4 linked regions of the Ovis aries genome follow. The protein of the gene in region 1 purifies or fractionates together with the protein of each later gene. This does not show direct contact. Links are inferred from orthologs where the notes say so. Each region holds a gene or a part of one and is shown in the gene's direction. Other genes may lie near its edges.

Evidence for each region.
Region 2: the proteins of SNX9 (region 1) and DNM1 purify together in Homo sapiens (co-immunoprecipitation; 6 studies listed by BioGRID and IntAct, counting the BioPlex papers as one, with this or other methods). This does not show direct contact. The link is inferred for Ovis aries from reciprocal best matches to the Homo sapiens genes SNX9 and DNM1.
Region 3: the proteins of SNX9 (region 1) and SYNJ1 purify together in Homo sapiens (co-immunoprecipitation; 3 studies listed by BioGRID and IntAct, counting the BioPlex papers as one, with this or other methods). This does not show direct contact. The link is inferred for Ovis aries from reciprocal best matches to the Homo sapiens genes SNX9 and SYNJ1.
Region 4: the proteins of SNX9 (region 1) and DNM3 purify together in Homo sapiens (co-immunoprecipitation; 3 studies listed by BioGRID and IntAct, counting the BioPlex papers as one, with this or other methods). This does not show direct contact. The link is inferred for Ovis aries from reciprocal best matches to the Homo sapiens genes SNX9 and DNM3.

Annotation. Positions count from the first base shown.
Region 1 is NC_056061.1:82,167,951-82,172,008, forward strand, and holds the start of SNX9 (sorting nexin-9), read left to right. Parts: upstream 1-1,198; 5' UTR 1,199-1,246; coding exon 1,247-1,513; intron 1,514-4,058. UniProt on the Homo sapiens protein: Involved in endocytosis and intracellular vesicle trafficking, both during interphase and at the end of mitosis. Required for efficient progress through mitosis and cytokinesis. Required for normal formation of the cleavage furrow at the end of mitosis.
Region 2 is NC_056056.1:8,070,271-8,074,520, reverse strand, and holds the start of DNM1 (dynamin-1), read left to right. Parts: upstream 1-1,426; 5' UTR 1,427-1,489; coding exon 1,490-1,650; intron 1,651-4,250. UniProt on the Homo sapiens protein: Catalyzes the hydrolysis of GTP and utilizes this energy to mediate vesicle scission and participates in many forms of endocytosis, such as clathrin-mediated endocytosis or synaptic vesicle endocytosis as well as rapid endocytosis (RE).
Region 3 is NC_056054.1:123,577,236-123,580,795, forward strand, and holds part of SYNJ1 (synaptojanin-1), read left to right. Parts: intron 1-1,886; coding exon 1,887-2,096; intron 2,097-3,257; coding exon 3,258-3,401; intron 3,402-3,560. UniProt on the Homo sapiens protein: Phosphatase that acts on various phosphoinositides, including phosphatidylinositol 4-phosphate, phosphatidylinositol (4,5)-bisphosphate and phosphatidylinositol (3,4,5)-trisphosphate. Has a role in clathrin-mediated endocytosis.
Region 4 is NC_056065.1:38,533,995-38,538,251, forward strand, and holds the start of DNM3 (dynamin-3), read left to right. Parts: upstream 1-1,402; 5' UTR 1,403-1,572; coding exon 1,573-1,733; intron 1,734-4,257. UniProt on the Homo sapiens protein: Microtubule-associated force-producing protein involved in producing microtubule bundles and able to bind and hydrolyze GTP. Most probably involved in vesicular trafficking processes, in particular endocytosis.

The DNA of each region.
Region 1 (4,058 bases):
GAATTTGCCAGCAATGCGGGAGACGTTGGTTCGATCCCTGGGTTGGGACGATTCCCTGGAGGAGGAAATGGCACCCTGCTCCAGTAAGGACAGAGGAGCCTGGTGGGATACAGTCCACGGGGTCCCAAAGAGTCGGACACGATTGAGCGACTAACAAACAGCATGATTGATAATAGCCGTAGCTCCCGAACTCAACAAACACAAAAATTCACCGAAAATGCTTTAGTACCATATCCATTTAAAACCTCTTTGTAGAAGGTAACCAGTTAAATTTCTGGAGATCAAATAGAATATTTTCGAGAGGACAAAATTTGACATTAATTGTACCGCTTTCCTCGCTTAAAGATGAATTTTGATAGTTGCCTCTTTTACGAGGTACATATCCCCGTGATAAAATAGAATGTACTGTAATAATATTTCCATCAAGAGATGTCTTTCAGTCACATCTTTCGTACTTGAGCGAAAATCTTGCTATTCAACTCATTCATGTATTATTGATAACAAAGGACACACATCCAACTCTGAAGAAAAATGGAAATTTTTAAGACTTCTAAAATTTCCATTTCGGGAAACCTGTTGGGTCTCCCCCTAACCTCCGGGGCCCGGAGGCGTTTTTTAAATTTATCAGGAGTCCAGAAGGAGGTTAACGGGACGCCTCAGAACGAAAGCCCCAAGCGTCGGGGCCCTGAAGCTCCGGGCCGGGGACCACAGCCCGCGGGCAACTCCAGGCGGGCGGCGGGTCTTCCGCGAAGGGCCAGCGGACCTGGAAGCCATTGCTGCGCTCCGTGCCGGCTGCGTTCTCCACACTCATTTCACTCAGCCCCGAGCACGACCGGCCCCACAGCCATGCCGACGCGGGACAAAGACCCCGTCCGCGACTCGAGCCCGTCGTGCTGGGGGGCCCCGTTGTATCTCCACAGCGAAACACTTCAGTCGCGGTGACCGGCTGAAGGGCCGCTCGGGACTCGGCTCCCCGGCAGGCGCTCCCTCATAAGCGTGTCCCTCACTCCCGTCCACCGTCCCCACGGCGGGGCAGCCAGGCGGGACGCGGTCGGTGGGGGGACCATGATCCGGCCCGACCCCGGCCGCCGCTCGGGGGACGCGGCCCCGAGCCCTGCGACAAAGGGCGCCGGCGGCGCGGCCCGAGGCGGAGGCTCCGGGCGGGGGCGGAAAGTGGGAGAGGAGGCCGGGCCGGCCCAGGGCACCGGGCGCGCTTCCGCCGGCCGCGCCGCGCACGCCGCGGTAGATGGGAGGCTCGGCCGGCGGGGGCGGGGGCCGCGCAGCCGGGGAGTTTCAGGAACTGGAGGAGCGGGGCGGCGGCTGGAGTCGCCCAGAGCCGAGACTCGGGGCCGGGGCGGAGCCGCCGCCGCGCCGGGGCCCAGCCGTAGCTGCCGCCGCCGCCGCCGCCCTCGCTTTCGTCCGGCCGCCTGGGGCCGATAGCCGCGGCGCGGGAGAGGAGCCGACCGTCCCGGGCCGAGGGCGGGGGGGAGATCCGCCCGCCATGGCCACCAAGGTGAGGGGAGCGCGGCCCGGGCCCCGGGCCGGCCGCTCGGCCCTGCGGCGGCGCGGGGGAGGGTCGCGGCCGGGGGCGGGGGCGCGGGCGGCGGCGCCGCCGGGGAGGCCGAGGGGTCGCGCCGGGGCCCACCCAGCTCGGGCCGGGCTCGGGGCACGCAGGGCGGACGAGGGGCCGGGGCCGGGGCGCTCGGGGTCTCGGCTGGGGGGCGCGGGGCGGGACCCCGGCCGCTCGCGGCGCCGTCTGCAAAGTTTGCGCCTGAGCGTGTGGGCCGCGGCCGGGCACGGAGGGAGGGAAAGTTCCCGCAGCTGCCCGGCGCCCGCCCTGAGGAGCTGCCCGCCCGCCGGGAGCCCCCGACTCGGTCCCGAGTGGAGTCCACTCTCCGCCGCTCCGCGCGTCCGGCCGCCGCCGCCGCGGGAGCCGCGTTCTCTCCTCCCTCCGCAGAGGGTGGGACCCCCCGGCGCCGCGGGCAGCTTTCGGGGGTCCGACCCGCGCCCGGCCGGACTGGGAATTTAAAATGCAGGCCGGAGAGTCAAGGCTCCTGAGGAGGGAAAAAAACCCCAGTGAAACGTCCCGCGCGCTTCCACTTCCCTCAATTTTCTTGTGTTGTGTTTTTTTTTTTTTCCTCTTTTGTTTTGCTACCTTTTCGATTTGAATGTTATTTCCAGCATGAATAAAATACCAAGAGGGAAATGACTCTGCTTTCAATTACGTTGTTTGCTTTAAAAAAAAAAAAAAAAAAGGTCCAGGCCCAAATTACGTGGTGGAACTTTGAGTCGCGCTTAGTTAATTGGCCAGGAGCGGTGGTTTGCTTATTTTACAGTATTGTCGGCGAAATTAGCGTTCACCCTTCGCTACCTTCCTCCCCCAGCTCCTTGGGGCTGGGGCGTTTAGTTCTCGACGGCCACTGACTAGGGAAAGCCACGCTCCCCTCCAGGAGCCAGGGGTGGGGTTTGAGTTGACTTTCTTTTTGATTTTGGAAGTAGTTTTAGTAATGCCCCTTTTATTAACATCAGAACCCTCTACCGTGTTTATTTTTTAAACCTCACTTCTTGGGTTGGTGAAAGCCTTAGATTTGTTGCTGTTGGGTTTTTGGTTTTGGTAGAGAGAGAAAACTTAGAAAACTGGTAAGTTTAAAACCCCTTTCGAAGATCATATTGATATTTCAGCCTGTGAAATTTTGTGTTCTGTTTCTGTCTAGGTGCAGTGTGTTTTTTGCCTTTTTTTTTTTTTTTTTTTTTTGATGGAGATTCTTATCCGGGGAACCTGTTGCCTGCTGTTACTGAAATAATTGTGAAGTGAAGTTGCTCAGTCGTGTCCGACTCTTTGCGACCCCATGGACTATAGCCTACCAGGTTCCACCGTCCATGGGATTTTCCAGGCAAGAATACTGGAGTGGGTTGCCATTTCCTTCTCCAGGAGATCTTCCCAACCCAGGGATTGAACCTGGGTCTAAGGCATTGTAGGCAGACACTTTACCGTCTGAGCCACCAGGGAAGTGGTACTGAAATAATTACTTTCTTGTTATTATTGGCTAAGCTCTATCTTCCCTGGTGGGCTCAGCTGGTAAAGAATCCGCCTGCAGTGCGGAGGAACTGGGTTCGATCCCTGGGTCGGGAAGATCCCTGGAGAAGGGAAAGATTACCCACTCCAATATTCTGGCCTGGAAAATCCCATGGACGGTGGAACCTGGTAGGCTGCAGTCCATGGAGTTGCAAAGAGCTGGACACGACTGAGAGACTTTAAATTCACTTGAGACTCTGTCTTGGTTTTCTTAGATGTGATAGAACTTTGCTACCTTTTTAACATGTATCATTTCATGTTGATCTTTTTAGAAACAAAACTTTAGATCAAATATTTCTAAGGAAATTTGACTTTGAGGTTTGTTGCCAAACATTTAAATTACCAATTACACGTCGTATTTTGCACTCATCTTACAACCTTGAAAGCTGTTTATGGTAGATAGCTATTCCTTTGATGGTCAGCGTTTGATACTTTGCACCCTGATCTACTGGCCCATGTTAGACTGTCCATTCAGTGGGACTCAGCTTAGCAACTAGTGCTGGTATATATAACGAAAATTTTATCTGATACTTAAACCTGAACTTGTATGCTCAGTTGCGTCCTGCTCTTTGCAACCCCAGGACTGTAGCCCATCAGACTCCTCTGACCATGGAATTTTCCAGGCAAGAATACTGGAGTGGGTGTTTTTCCATAAAATTAGAAAGAATAGTTTTTGTACTAAACTTGAATTGTGTTTATCCACACTAAGCACAAGCCTTAAAGCATGGATAAACACTTCCTACTTTATTGTCTTCTCCACAGAAGGCAGGTAACAGTCATTCTTTCACCTTTCTAATCACTATTCCACATGGTACTCCTTTCCATGTTTACATTGTGACAAGCCACTTCTGGTTTCAAAAACAAAGGAGAAGCACTTACATAGGAGTCTTCCTCAGTTTTCCCACTTCCTGGTGATTCTTACATCAAACCGAAGTTTCATTTTTTTAATTGTTCCCAGAGAGTAAATTTGTCCTTGTTTTGT
Region 2 (4,250 bases), on another chromosome or scaffold:
TGCAACCTCATGGACTGTAGCTCTCTAGGCTCCTCTGTTCTCCAGGGTTCTCTCTCTGTTCTCTGTTCTCTCTTCCCTAGTCTCCTTGTGGGGAGTCCCAGTTAGGTTCCTTAAATGCAGAGGTGGAAAACTTGGCTTGGGGCCCCCCGGTCTTTCTATGTGAAAAAAATTAATAGGGTAGGGTTTCAAGAGTCGTGGATTCGAGCCCTACTGTTTTACCACCACCCTGATGGTTTGGGGAGAACACTTCACTTACCAGGACAAGACGTTCCAACTGTCCCAAGAAGGCCCTTCCAAGTGTCAGAGCCTTTGTACCTGCTGTTCATTTGGCCTGGCTAGCTGCTCCTCGGAGAAGGCAATGGCAACCCACTCTAGTACTCTTGCCTGGAAAATCCCATGGACAGAGGAGCCTGGTAGGCTGCAGTCCACGGGGTCTCGAAGAGTCAGACACGACTGAGCGACTTCACTTTCACTTTTCACTTTCATGCATTAGAGAAGGAAATGGCAACCCACTCCAGTGTTCTTGCCTGGAGAATCCCAGGGACAGCGGAGCCTGGTGGGCTGCCACCTATGGGGTCGCACAGAGTTGGACACAACTGAAGCGACTTAGCAGCAGCAGCAGCAGCTGCTTCTCACCATTCAGGTCTCTTCTCAACTGTCACCTCCACAGAGAACCCTCCCAACCTGCCAGGCTAAAGAGAACTCTTCATATGCTGTGCTGATTTCTCGCATCACTATTAGTGTACACTATCTTCACTTGTACTGTTTCATTTATCTGTTTATTCATTTACTGTCTGTCTCCACTGTAAGATCTATGAGGGTAGAGACCTGGTCTGTCTTGTTTACTGCTATATCTCCAGCGCCTAGAACAGGGTATGGCTTACAGTACGTGTTCAGTAAATATTTGTTAAATTAATGCTCTATATCTTTTCCTTCTAGAAACAGGGAGATTGAGGCCCAAAGGCGGGAAGGGAAATGCCGGAGATAAAATTAGTGTTACAACCCAAAGTAGAAGGCAGTGAAGCCAAGTGAAACTGAAGGTCAGAAGACTATGACCTTGGAAGGAGGCCGTGCCTCCAAGCCTCAGTTTCCCCGTCTGTAAGAGGGAGTGAGGCAGCCACGACTACTCTCCAAGGGGTCTGGTACTAAGGGCACCTAGTACCTAGGAGACTTTGCCCGTTTCCTGGAAAGATAACGTGCGGTGCAGCATCTGTGCCTCCCCCAGACACGGCTCAAGCGTCCCCAAAAGCCGCAGAAGTTGAAAACTACAGTCCCCATAGTGCTACGGGCGGCGCCTGCGCACAGCTGCCGACCCGCGGCGCAGCGGGCGCCCCCTCGCGGCATCCCGGCGCAGCGCGGCGCTCCGATCCCCGAGGGGCGGGGGGACCCGCGGCGCAGAAAAGCGTCGGAGCGCGCCGCTGCATCCGCGGAGCCGAAGCCGGGAGCCCAAGCGGCGGCCGGATCGCAGCCTGCTGAGCCAGCCGCAGCCATGGGCAACCGTGGCATGGAGGATCTCATCCCGCTGGTCAACCGGCTGCAGGATGCCTTCTCCGCCATCGGCCAGAACGCGGATCTCGACCTGCCGCAGATCGCCGTGGTGGGCGGCCAGAGCGCCGGCAAGAGCTCGGTGCTCGAGAATTTCGTAGGCAGGTAGGAAGTGGCGCGCCCCTGGGACGCGGACTCCCCGCGCCCGGGTCCTCCGGGTCTCGGGACCCGGCCCCGACGGCGCCGGGACCTCGTAGCCCCTGGCGCTGCACGGCGGACAGCGCGCCACCCCCCCGCCCCCACCTCCAGCCAGAAGGAGGAGGCGGCCCTCCCCCGCGACGAGAGCCCTTCGGGGGCGCAGCGCCCTCCACCCTCCTCATCCCCGCTGGGCCGCAGACGTCAAGCCTGCGGCCGAGGGCTCACGCCCCCCTCCTCCGCTCCATCCTTTAGGAAGACAGCAGACTCGGGCAAAGGGCTGTTCCCCCACCCCTACCCCCCCCCATGGGTACCGAGGGGCCTACATGACTCCCCTCGGTTCTGAGGGGGTCTCTTGAAGCGGGCAGCACCCCTGGGCCCATGCCCCCAGGCTCTATGGACAGCTCCCCCTCCTCTCATGGGGATTCCTGGACTGCGGTGGGGGGTCACCCCTCCCGTCGCCCCTGGGAGAGGACATAGACCCTTGAGCATCGGGGACCAGATACAGTCTCCCCCGTCACACACACCTCTGCGGCTCCGGCCGCCATCCGTGAGCAGCGCGGAAGAGGGGGGAGGCGCGACTGCAGGATGAGGAAGAGGGGGTGGGGGGAGCGAGCGCCTCTGAGCCTTCCCCAAGCCGCCGGCCCCTTGCCCTGCCGCCGCCCCTGGGTGGGGGGGGGGGGGGGGCGCCTGTCAGTGTCGTCCTCCCCTTGGCCTGGCAGAGGGATTGGAATGGAGGGAGAAGGCGGTGGAGGACAGAGATGACTAAGACAGGGAGGGAGGCGGGCTGGCGGGGAGGGGTGGGGGGAGCCATTTGCACGACCTAATCCCCCTCCTGCCTCGGATCCCACAAGGCGCCGGGAGGGCCAGGTGGCAAGGAGTCAGGGGCAACCACCAAGACAAAGAGCCCTGGGGTTAGGGAGGCAGGCAGGGTCGTGACCACCCCCCAGGCTCTCCCCAAGAAGGGGAGACAGAGATGGGCTTTCCGGGGGCTGAGAAGGAGAGAGAGGCCGGCGCTCTTCCCGGGGAGCTGGAGGCGGAGGGAGCGTGCTGGGCAGACTGAGGGAGGAGGCAAGAGAATTGACGCTGACCTCCCCATTCTGTCATCTACCTTCCTACCCTCCTTCAGAAACCCTAGCTTTCCTCCAATGACCTTCATGGGTAAAGAGGCGGATGACCTGTGCCAGAGAGGGAGGCAGGCAGAGAGGGCTTTCTCCTCCCCTCATCCCAGGGATGGCAGTTCTGGGCTGAGACATCCTGGGTCCCAAACCAGGTTCTGCTGTGAAACCTCCAGCGAGTCACTGCCCTCTCTGAGCCTCAGTTTCCCCATCTCTAATATGGGCGATTAGACTGGACGGTCATCCCCGCCCCTCAAATGACCTGGGAAGGCCCAGTGTCAGCCTCAGGGGTGAGAGAAAAGGATACTGCACAGATCGATGTATCTGTGGGACGCGGGAGAGCCACTGTGGGGGCAGCCGGGCCCATCTGATCAGCAGGGGGGACGCCATCTGTCTCCCGGGGAAGGGCTTCCAGAGAACCCCTTTCCTGCTCATGTGACCCCACCTTCCCCCAGAGCTGCAGAGACACAGACAAGAGACACAGAGATGGTCCGTGTCCCTATGGCTCAACAGTCACCGCGAGGGGGCTGGGAGGACCCTGGAGGCAATACAGCCCCTGAGGCCCTCATGCTTTAGATGACAGTCGTGGACATCCTGTACTTTTCAGGGTACAAACCACAGGCCTGCCTCTCCCCCCTCTGCTCATGCATGCTCTGTGCCTGCTGCGTGCTCTGGGCAGGGGGCACAAGGGAGCAGCTGACCTCAGCCACTGTCTGCCAGGCCCTTCCCCTGTGCCCCCTGCCAGGCTATATGGGACAGATCACAAGAGCCCCGTGAGGCGGGTACTGTGATGACCACCCTGCAGGGGAGGAAGCAGACGCTGAGGTTAGAGGCCCTGTCCAAGGTCACAGGGCCAAGAAGGACCGTGCCCGTCAGGCTCCAATCTGGGGCCCACACCACCTCTAAGAGTCCAGCTCAGCACTGAACACAGGAACACCCAAGTGTATGGACCCCCACTTTCCCCATCTGAGGAATGGGCCCAATGCCAGCTGCCACCCTGCCTTCCTGAGACATGGGTGTGGGGCTCCAGCAAGTTCACAAGTATAAAAGCCCCCTTTTATAGACTTGTGGAAGGGAGGTATCAATGTTCAGTTAGGTTTGGGGCCTGTGTGGGCCAGGAGACCTAGCTGCTGCCATCTCGGAGTCCACCATCCAGCCGAGAGAGGTGCCGGGGGTGGACCGCACAGCAGGCCAGCCTGGCCACAGCTGACTTCCGTAACTGTTAGCTTGTCGAGGGGTCGAGTGAGATTCAGACTCTGCCCCCAGAGGCTTGGACCCTCTCGCTGCCCTCCACAATCCAATAGCCTTTGACTGCAGTTTCGCAGGAGGATACACAGGGTGTCCAGGCGCAGGTCTGGGGCAGAGTAGAGGCCTGGCGTACAGTGGCGTGCACAGGGATGCATTAGTTGATTCTCATGAAAGCTAGTGAGGAGGCCAGGACTGGAGTGGGAA
Region 3 (3,560 bases), on another chromosome or scaffold:
GTTGTTTTGAAGTGGAGACACTTGAGGAGCTTAATCCTGATGGAAAGGGCTGATGCTGCTGGGGAGGGGCAGGGCAACCAGTGGTGGGCAGAACCCCACCCTTTCCACCCGTAGATATGGTTAGGCTACAGCTGGGGGACAGGTTGTTGAAGAGAGGGGTTCCCACCTTAGGACTTCCCTTTTCTCTGTGAAGTTTAAGGAGGCGGGCAGCACACGGCTTTAGGAGGGTTGAGAAGGTTCAAGACAAAGCTCCTGGGAAGCAGTCAGATGGGGAGCCAGCCAGGAAACTGTGGGTTGGCCAGGAGGCCATGGGAGCCCAGATGAGGCTGAAACCACAGAGTTAACACAGCTGCAGTCCTCAGGACCACACGGTTGTCTGTCTGCAGCACCCAGCAGCCTGTCTGCAGTCATGGAGAGATTAGACTGCAGAATTGACGCAGGGGCGATGGAAGAATAGTGCAGGAGGGGACTGGCCGCAGCAAGGAACCAGAGGATGTGAAGACAGCTGCAAGGAGACCTGCAAAATCCAGTAGGGGCTCAAAGAAGAGGGATCGAAGGCCTGGGTCCTGGTGAAGTCAGAAGTGGGGAAAGAGTAGCCAAGGGAAAGACTGAGAGGCTGGAAGGCGGTCAGATGGAAGTGTTTGAGTTTATTGCTTCAGAGGCACTGCGGTTCCAAGGGGCATGAGTGTGGAGTAGAGGAGCACGCCAGCAGGGTGAAGCGTCAGGTTGGTGGGTTATCCACAGAGGCTTCGGTGTCACCCAGAAAGATGGCGGGGCCCAGCTTACCATCTCGCTCTCTCCTTGGTCCTCAGTGAATGGGTTCTAGTGACCAAAAGGGTGGAGGTGGGAGATTATGGCGGCAAACGGGTTGAGGGTGTTACACAAATTCTGGAAGGCACAGCCTCCAGAAATAAAGAGGCCTTTTCAGGGTTGGAAGATTAAAGTTTTGGAATTGGAGTCAGGTGGCATGGGGCTCCCTGACGCCACTTCCCGACCCTGTGGAAAACGGAGGTGAGGAGACCTCGGGAAGAACCAACTCCCGCCTGTTAAATTAAAGCAGAGGGTTACACGCCCAGGGCACCAAGTAGTGAGGAGTCTTCCAGGGGAAGGGTGTAGTGTATGACTGTGTCTGCCGTGAGGGGCGGTTCCATAGACTAGCAGGCAGGTTTGAAGGGAGGGCAGTGAGCGTCCGACTCAGCCAGCACTGAGAGTGCTGCTCAGAGCGCCTTGACAGCTGTGGAGTCAACCCAGCCCCAGATGTTAGCCGCCACTGGGCCTCCTGTTGCTCTGAGATGAGACTTAAAAAAAAATTATTACTATTAAATGTGTTTATTTTAATGGAAAGATAATTGCTTGATAGTATTGTGCTGGTTTCTGCCAGTATCGGCATTAAGCAGCCATAGGTATTACTGTGTCCCCTGTGACTGTCTTTTTTTAAGTAATCTAATTAGTTAGTGGCTGTGCTGGGTCTTGGTTGCTACGGACAGGCTTTCTCTAGCTGTGGTGAGCAGGGGCTACTCTCTCTGTGGTTCACAGGCTTCAGTATTTGTGGCATGGGCAATCTTCCCAGACCAGGGATTGAACCCATGTCCATCTGCATTGGCAGACAGATTCTTCACCACGGGACCACCCGGGAAGCCCAGGGGGCTATCTTTAATTACTTTTTCTACGGTACGAGAGCATTTGCACTAATTCTAGTTGTATACATATAACCTCTTTATATATACCCACATGCTTAACTTAGACATGTTTGCAGTATCATCATGTTAAGGTGTTTATTTTATATATTTAACCCCTTAAGCCTAGACTGGGGCGGGGGGCGGGCGGGGAGAAATCTCTGAGAAAGTTAACGTGCTGGTAAGGTGGCCAACCTTGCGTTTTCTCAGGTGATGTGGATGACTATAGTGCTGAGGTAGAGGAGATCCTTCCTCAGCATCTCCAGCCATCTTCCAGTTCTGGCCTTGGCACGTCCCCCGGTTCTTCACCCCGGACCAGTCCCTGCCAGTCACCTACCATATCGGAGGGGCCTGTGCCTTCCCTCCCAGTGAGACCAAGTCGAGCTCCGTCCAGAACACCCGGGCCCCCCGCTTCACAAAGTATGTGTTTTATTTCAAGTTTTGTATGACTTCCCAGGCTGATATGTTTGATTTTAGATGGTTAAACCTCTGATGCCTTCAGATCTCCTTTGTAGAGCTATTTTTGCTTAACTTTCACATCCATAGGCTAAAATTTAGCATGTTTTCTGTGCCTGCAAAAGAAGAAACTTTGTAGATGGTTCCGCCCTAAGTGAAGAGGAAGCTTGTTGCTATCACTAGATGAGAACTTCACTTCATCCTTTTTCTATGTGGCAGCTTTGTCCATGGCTTATCACTGATGATTTTTAAGCATTATGGTCAGAACCCATAACTCTTTGGGCTTAACTATCTGTACATTACCTGCTTTATAATAGGAAGCAGAAAGAGACAAAACAAGTATTTTGAATTCAACTTGATAGTCATGACTCCTCCAAAGTCAGAAGGTTTTTCTCTGTAAGTTGTTACACCACACAGTTCAGTCACTGTTCCACACTAACCAGTATCCTTGAAAAATACCTTTTATTTCAGCAGTTTCTTGAGCTCCCCCATGCTACTCTTAGGGGACCATTGTTAAATAGTCACTGAGTCATATCTGACTATTTTGCGACCCCATGGATTGTAGCCTGCCAAGCTCCTCTGTCCATGGGATTTCCCAGGCAAGAATATGGGAGTGGGTTGCCATTTCCTTCTCCAGGAAATCTTCCTGATTCAGGGATCAAACTTGCATCTCCTGCATTGGCGGGTGGATTCTTTACCACTGAGCCACGAGGGAAGCCCTCTGAGGATGGGCTTCCTTCAGTAAATTCAGGATAAGTCAAGACATAGAAAGAAGAGGCTCCCTTTGCTTTTTCTTCTCCTGGCCAGCAGATTGGATTGCAAATGACCTAACTCACACGATACTTCATGCCATCTTGTTAGGGCCACTCAGTAAATCCCCTTTCAGTACCCGGGGCCTGGATAAGAAGTCCAGAGAGTAACCTGATTGCTCCCATAGTACCACAGGGTAAGGTAATAGTGTAAGGTAATAGCACAGCTGCTTGTGTTATTGATACTAAAAATGTGTGTCATTCCTCTATAGTACAAATTATTTTGCTAAATAATTTATCATACACCTATAGAAAGTACCTGTGTGCTCATCCCTTGGAACCTGATCCTTTTACCTAAGGTACTTTTTTCTGGTAGGTTCTCCTGTTGACACTCTGCCAGCAACACAGCTGCAGCAGAAAGATTCTTCCCAGACCCTGGAACCCAAGCGGCCTCCCCCTCCCCGCCCGGTTGCTCCTCCTGCACGTCCAGCTCCCCCACAACGACCGCCTCCGCCTTCAGGTGACAAATCCTTGTATTTCCATCTCTGCTGGATTTCACCTCTCTGCTGAAAAATGTTTTGCATGTTTTTGAAATGCTCGCTTTTAGATTTTATCAGTTTTCTGTCACTGGTGCTGCTTCCTTAGTTGGCTTTTCTCTAAAAAAACGGCATAGGCGTGA
Region 4 (4,257 bases), on another chromosome or scaffold:
TTGGAAGCAAAGTTATAACCAACCTAGACAGCATATTAAAAAGAAGAGACATTACTTTGCCAACAAAGGTCTGTGCTGTCAAAGCTGTGGTTTTTCCAGTGGTCACGTATGGATGTGAGAGTTAGACTGTGAAGAAGCTGAGCACTGAAGAATTGATGCTTTTGAACTGTGGTGTTGGAGAAGACTCTTGAGAGTCCCTTGGACTGCAAGGAAATCCAACCAGTCCATCCCAAAGGAGACCAGTCCTGGGTGTTCATTGGAAGGACTGATGCTGAAGCTGAAACTCCAATACTTTGGCCACCTCATGAGAAGAGTTGACTCACTGGAAAAGACTTTGATGCTGGGAGGGATTAGGGGCAGAAGGAGAAGGGGATGACAGAGGATGACATGGCTGGAATACATCATTGACTCGATGGACATGATTTTGGGTAAACTGCTGGAGTTGGTGATGGACAGGGAGGCCTGGCATGCTGCAATTCATGGAGTTGCAAAGAGTGGGACATGACTGAGAGACTGAACTGAGCATTATGTGTAGTTATTGCCATGGGGAAGTCTTCAGGTAGACTAAAACGTTCATGAATTAAATCCTGAGTAGTATGAGTATTTGAAATGAGGATCTGTCCAAGGAGGCTGAGAGAAGCATGACCATTTATCCCTCTGTGTCCCCCAACACAAAGCACAGGATCCAATGCAGTCACTTAGTTCGCTAAATTTAAGAGAATGGGAGCAGAATACATGGTTATTGATAGAGACCATAGGAGGTAGATTAGGAGGAGAAATGGAATGAAGAGTCACAAAAGACAGAATGAACTTGGTAGACTGAAGAGGGCGAGTGGTGCTGGGTAAGCACAGTGGACTCTACCTTTGCTTCTGCAGGGCCAGCAGAACCCAGCGGTTCAAGTTGTATCATTAGGTAGGGTCAGAATACGCAGGGCCTGAAACGGATGACAGATCGAAGAATTTAGACTCCAAAAGGCCGGCCACCCCAAGAAAAGCCCAGGTTCTGGAGTGGGCCGTGAGAACAAGAGATTTCCTTTTGGGAGGTGCACTCTGGAGGCATTGCACTGGTGGTGGCATCTGAGCTGCTGCCGCCGCCGCTGGCGACAGTGTTGAGCTGTTACCGGCGGAGTGCTTTCCACTGGACTTTCGCTTACAGTAGCTACTGAAAGGGAACAGTGCTGTCGGCTGGTGCTGCTATTTCATGCCATTCCCTGACCGAGTGCTGTTGGCACCAGACGACAGAGGCGGTGGCATCTGGGCGCAGCTGGGAGGCAGTGCGTGCGCGCTGGGCGGGGAGGTCTGCCGAAGCCTGGGGCACAGCAGCCGCCCATCCCGGCGAGGGCGGGGCGGTCGCGGAATCAGGCCACGCCCCCACTCGCCTGCGCAGGCGCGCTTCGGGGCCGTTGCTGTCAGGAGCGCACTAGAGGCCGGACCGTGGCGGGATCCGACGTCTGGCTGTACCCGGCTGACTAAACCCAGCGCAGCAGCGGCGGCGAGGGTGGCGCGGCCCCGGCTCCCTGCCAGGTCGCAGAGACTAGCAGGGACTAGCGGGCATCTGGCGGGGCAGGCACAATGGGGAATCGGGAGATGGAGGAGCTCATCCCTCTGGTGAACCGTCTGCAGGATGCCTTCTCCGCCCTGGGACAGAGCTGCCTGCTGGAGCTGCCTCAGATCGCCGTGGTGGGCGGCCAGAGCGCCGGCAAGAGCTCGGTGCTCGAGAACTTCGTGGGCAGGTGAGCACGCGAGGGGGAGGGTAGGAGGCGGGGGCGACCCCACTTCAGGCTGCTGGAGTGTCGAGGGCAGGAGCCGGAGGCTGGACCAGGGGCTGCAGCGGATGGGAGGGAAGAGCGGCAGTGTCCGTGACGGCGGGCGGGGTCGTCCCGGCTCCGGGCATCCTCTGTCCCTCCCCGCCTGGTGGCCCTCCTGTCTGCCTTTCATCCTGCGATACAAAGCCATTTCCTCCCCGTCCTCCGGTCTGGGAGTCGGGGAGGGGGTCCGCCCCAGGATGACTTCCCCCTCCCGCCCGTTGCGCGCCAGCCCCGGGGACAGCCTGAATGCGTAGCTCTCCCGGGAGCTTCCCAGTCCCCTTTCTGTTTTCCCGGCTCAATATCCTCCTCCTTTTCCTGTCAGCCTCCCCAGGCTCTCCGCGAGGCTGTGGGGTTCATTTCCCTGCCCCTCCCCCCCTTGGAGATGCTTTCCTTCTTGCCCTGGTTCTCGGCTCCTGTCAGCTGTCTACTGTTCGAGACAGTCGTCGCCTGCCCCTAGCAGGGGAGGCGGGGTTCGAGGAGAAAGAAATCGTTTGTTGTGGTGAGGCTTTAACCCACGACGCTTCCCCACAGTTCTCCTCACTAAGGAGTCCAACAGTAAAAGGTGATTGCGTTTGCGTGTGCACCTACTCACAGCTCCAGGCATAGAGAGAAACCGAGGCAGAGACTCTGAGAGGGGGGTGAACTGCGACTTGTGTTGTCCAGGTGCCATGTCATTCCTGCATCATCTCGGAATGGACCAGCATCTTTCTCATACTCTCTCTGCACCCCCTTCCCCAGCATCATCTTCGATTCCATAAGCTTTTATTTGTCCTGCGAACCTTCAAGTTAACAGCTGAATTGAAATTATGGTTCCAGGTTTCGTAGTTACTTTTAATTCTGAAAAACCCAAATAATTCATTTTTAAATTGGGAATCAGCATTCCCCGCCCCCCCCACCCGATTGAGCAGTGCATGAGAGATTAAGTTACCTTAACGGCCTTGCCTGAGGAGTGCAGACATTTGCTAAGAAAAGCCCATTGGAAAGCATTATGAAAACTGAAATCTGTTTCCTAGTAATAAACTAGGTAGAAATGTACAATAGCTGATGGAGGGGGCCAGCGATGGTACAATACAGAGACTGTACTTGACTCTTTCTGTTTGACTGGTTAGTGATTTTGAATTCAGAAGGTTCGTGGTTTGTTTGTTTTTTTGGCTTTTCTTTTCTTTTTTGTTAGTGTTTGTGTAAAATTTAGATATTCCCACATCTTTGGGAATGGTAGTATCCATAAAGTGTATATTCTTTTCTCTCAGATGATACTCTTAAGGATTTTTTTTCCCCTTCCTGATGAACTAGAAAGCTAAGAAACCTAGTTTTTAAAAAAGTAAGATTGCTGACAGTTGGCTGTTATCTTTGACTAAGTCACTTAATCACTTTTCTCAGTTTTATCATTAATTTTAGTGGTGAGAAAAGTGATGGTAAAGCATTTTGCCTACGTCATCATAGACTTATGGTCTAGTGACGGATGAATATGTGATTTCAAATGTGTACACAAAATAGTCACATACATAAGGGTTTTACTTTCTTTGATTTATTGTCAATGAAATTCAGTAAATTTAAAGTGGTATCTATAGTGAAAGTGAGGTTTGGTGAGGTTTTTTTTGGGATTTATAAACTCCAGAGCATTTAACAGGAAGCCTTAATAATCATTTAACTACTTTTGCTTTTTAAACAAATACTTAAAGATTAAAATTGTAAGTAATTCAAATGCAATGACCATATTTTATGCATCTTTCATATATTTAGTTGGATGAATTTGCCTTATAAATGCGCTTTTTGTGGCAAGAACTTTTGAACTTAATGTTGATTTTATCCACATATCTTGATTCTGTTCTTCAGATTTTCCAATCCTGAACATAGTCACTGATGCTGTAATAAAATTGTAAATATCTTTCCTCACTAGCTATCCTCTTTCCATATGAGAATTTTAAAAATCTGAAAGAGTAAAATATTTTAGCTTGAATACTCTTTATGATAGAATAAAAAATAGGGACATTGTAAATAGTATGTATACCAGCATATTTATCAGAATACGTTAGTAATATATTGGTAATTTAATTTACCAATAATTAAATACTATAAGAATGTCAAGTCAAAGGAAAGGATGGGCATAAAGGAAAAAACTGATTTAATAAATATAGCAAGGCTTTATTATCTGTAGAGATGACACCTGCCAGCAGAACTTATATATTAGGTGAAAATTTAATTAAAAAAGTAATTTGATTTTAGTAAAGGTTTCAGTCATTGAATTATTGAGGAATCTAATTTCTAATTATAAACCTTAGGGAAAAAGGAGTTCTGTATTTTGTTAGGAGATTCATTCTAAGTGGAAAAAACTGCTCATATTAAACTGTAACCTTTTATCTTTTTATTATCCAGAAAATTTTCAATAAAGATAAGGTTCTTTAAGAATGAAACTTTCCTCTTTTACATATAGCTGTTTTCATTTTAA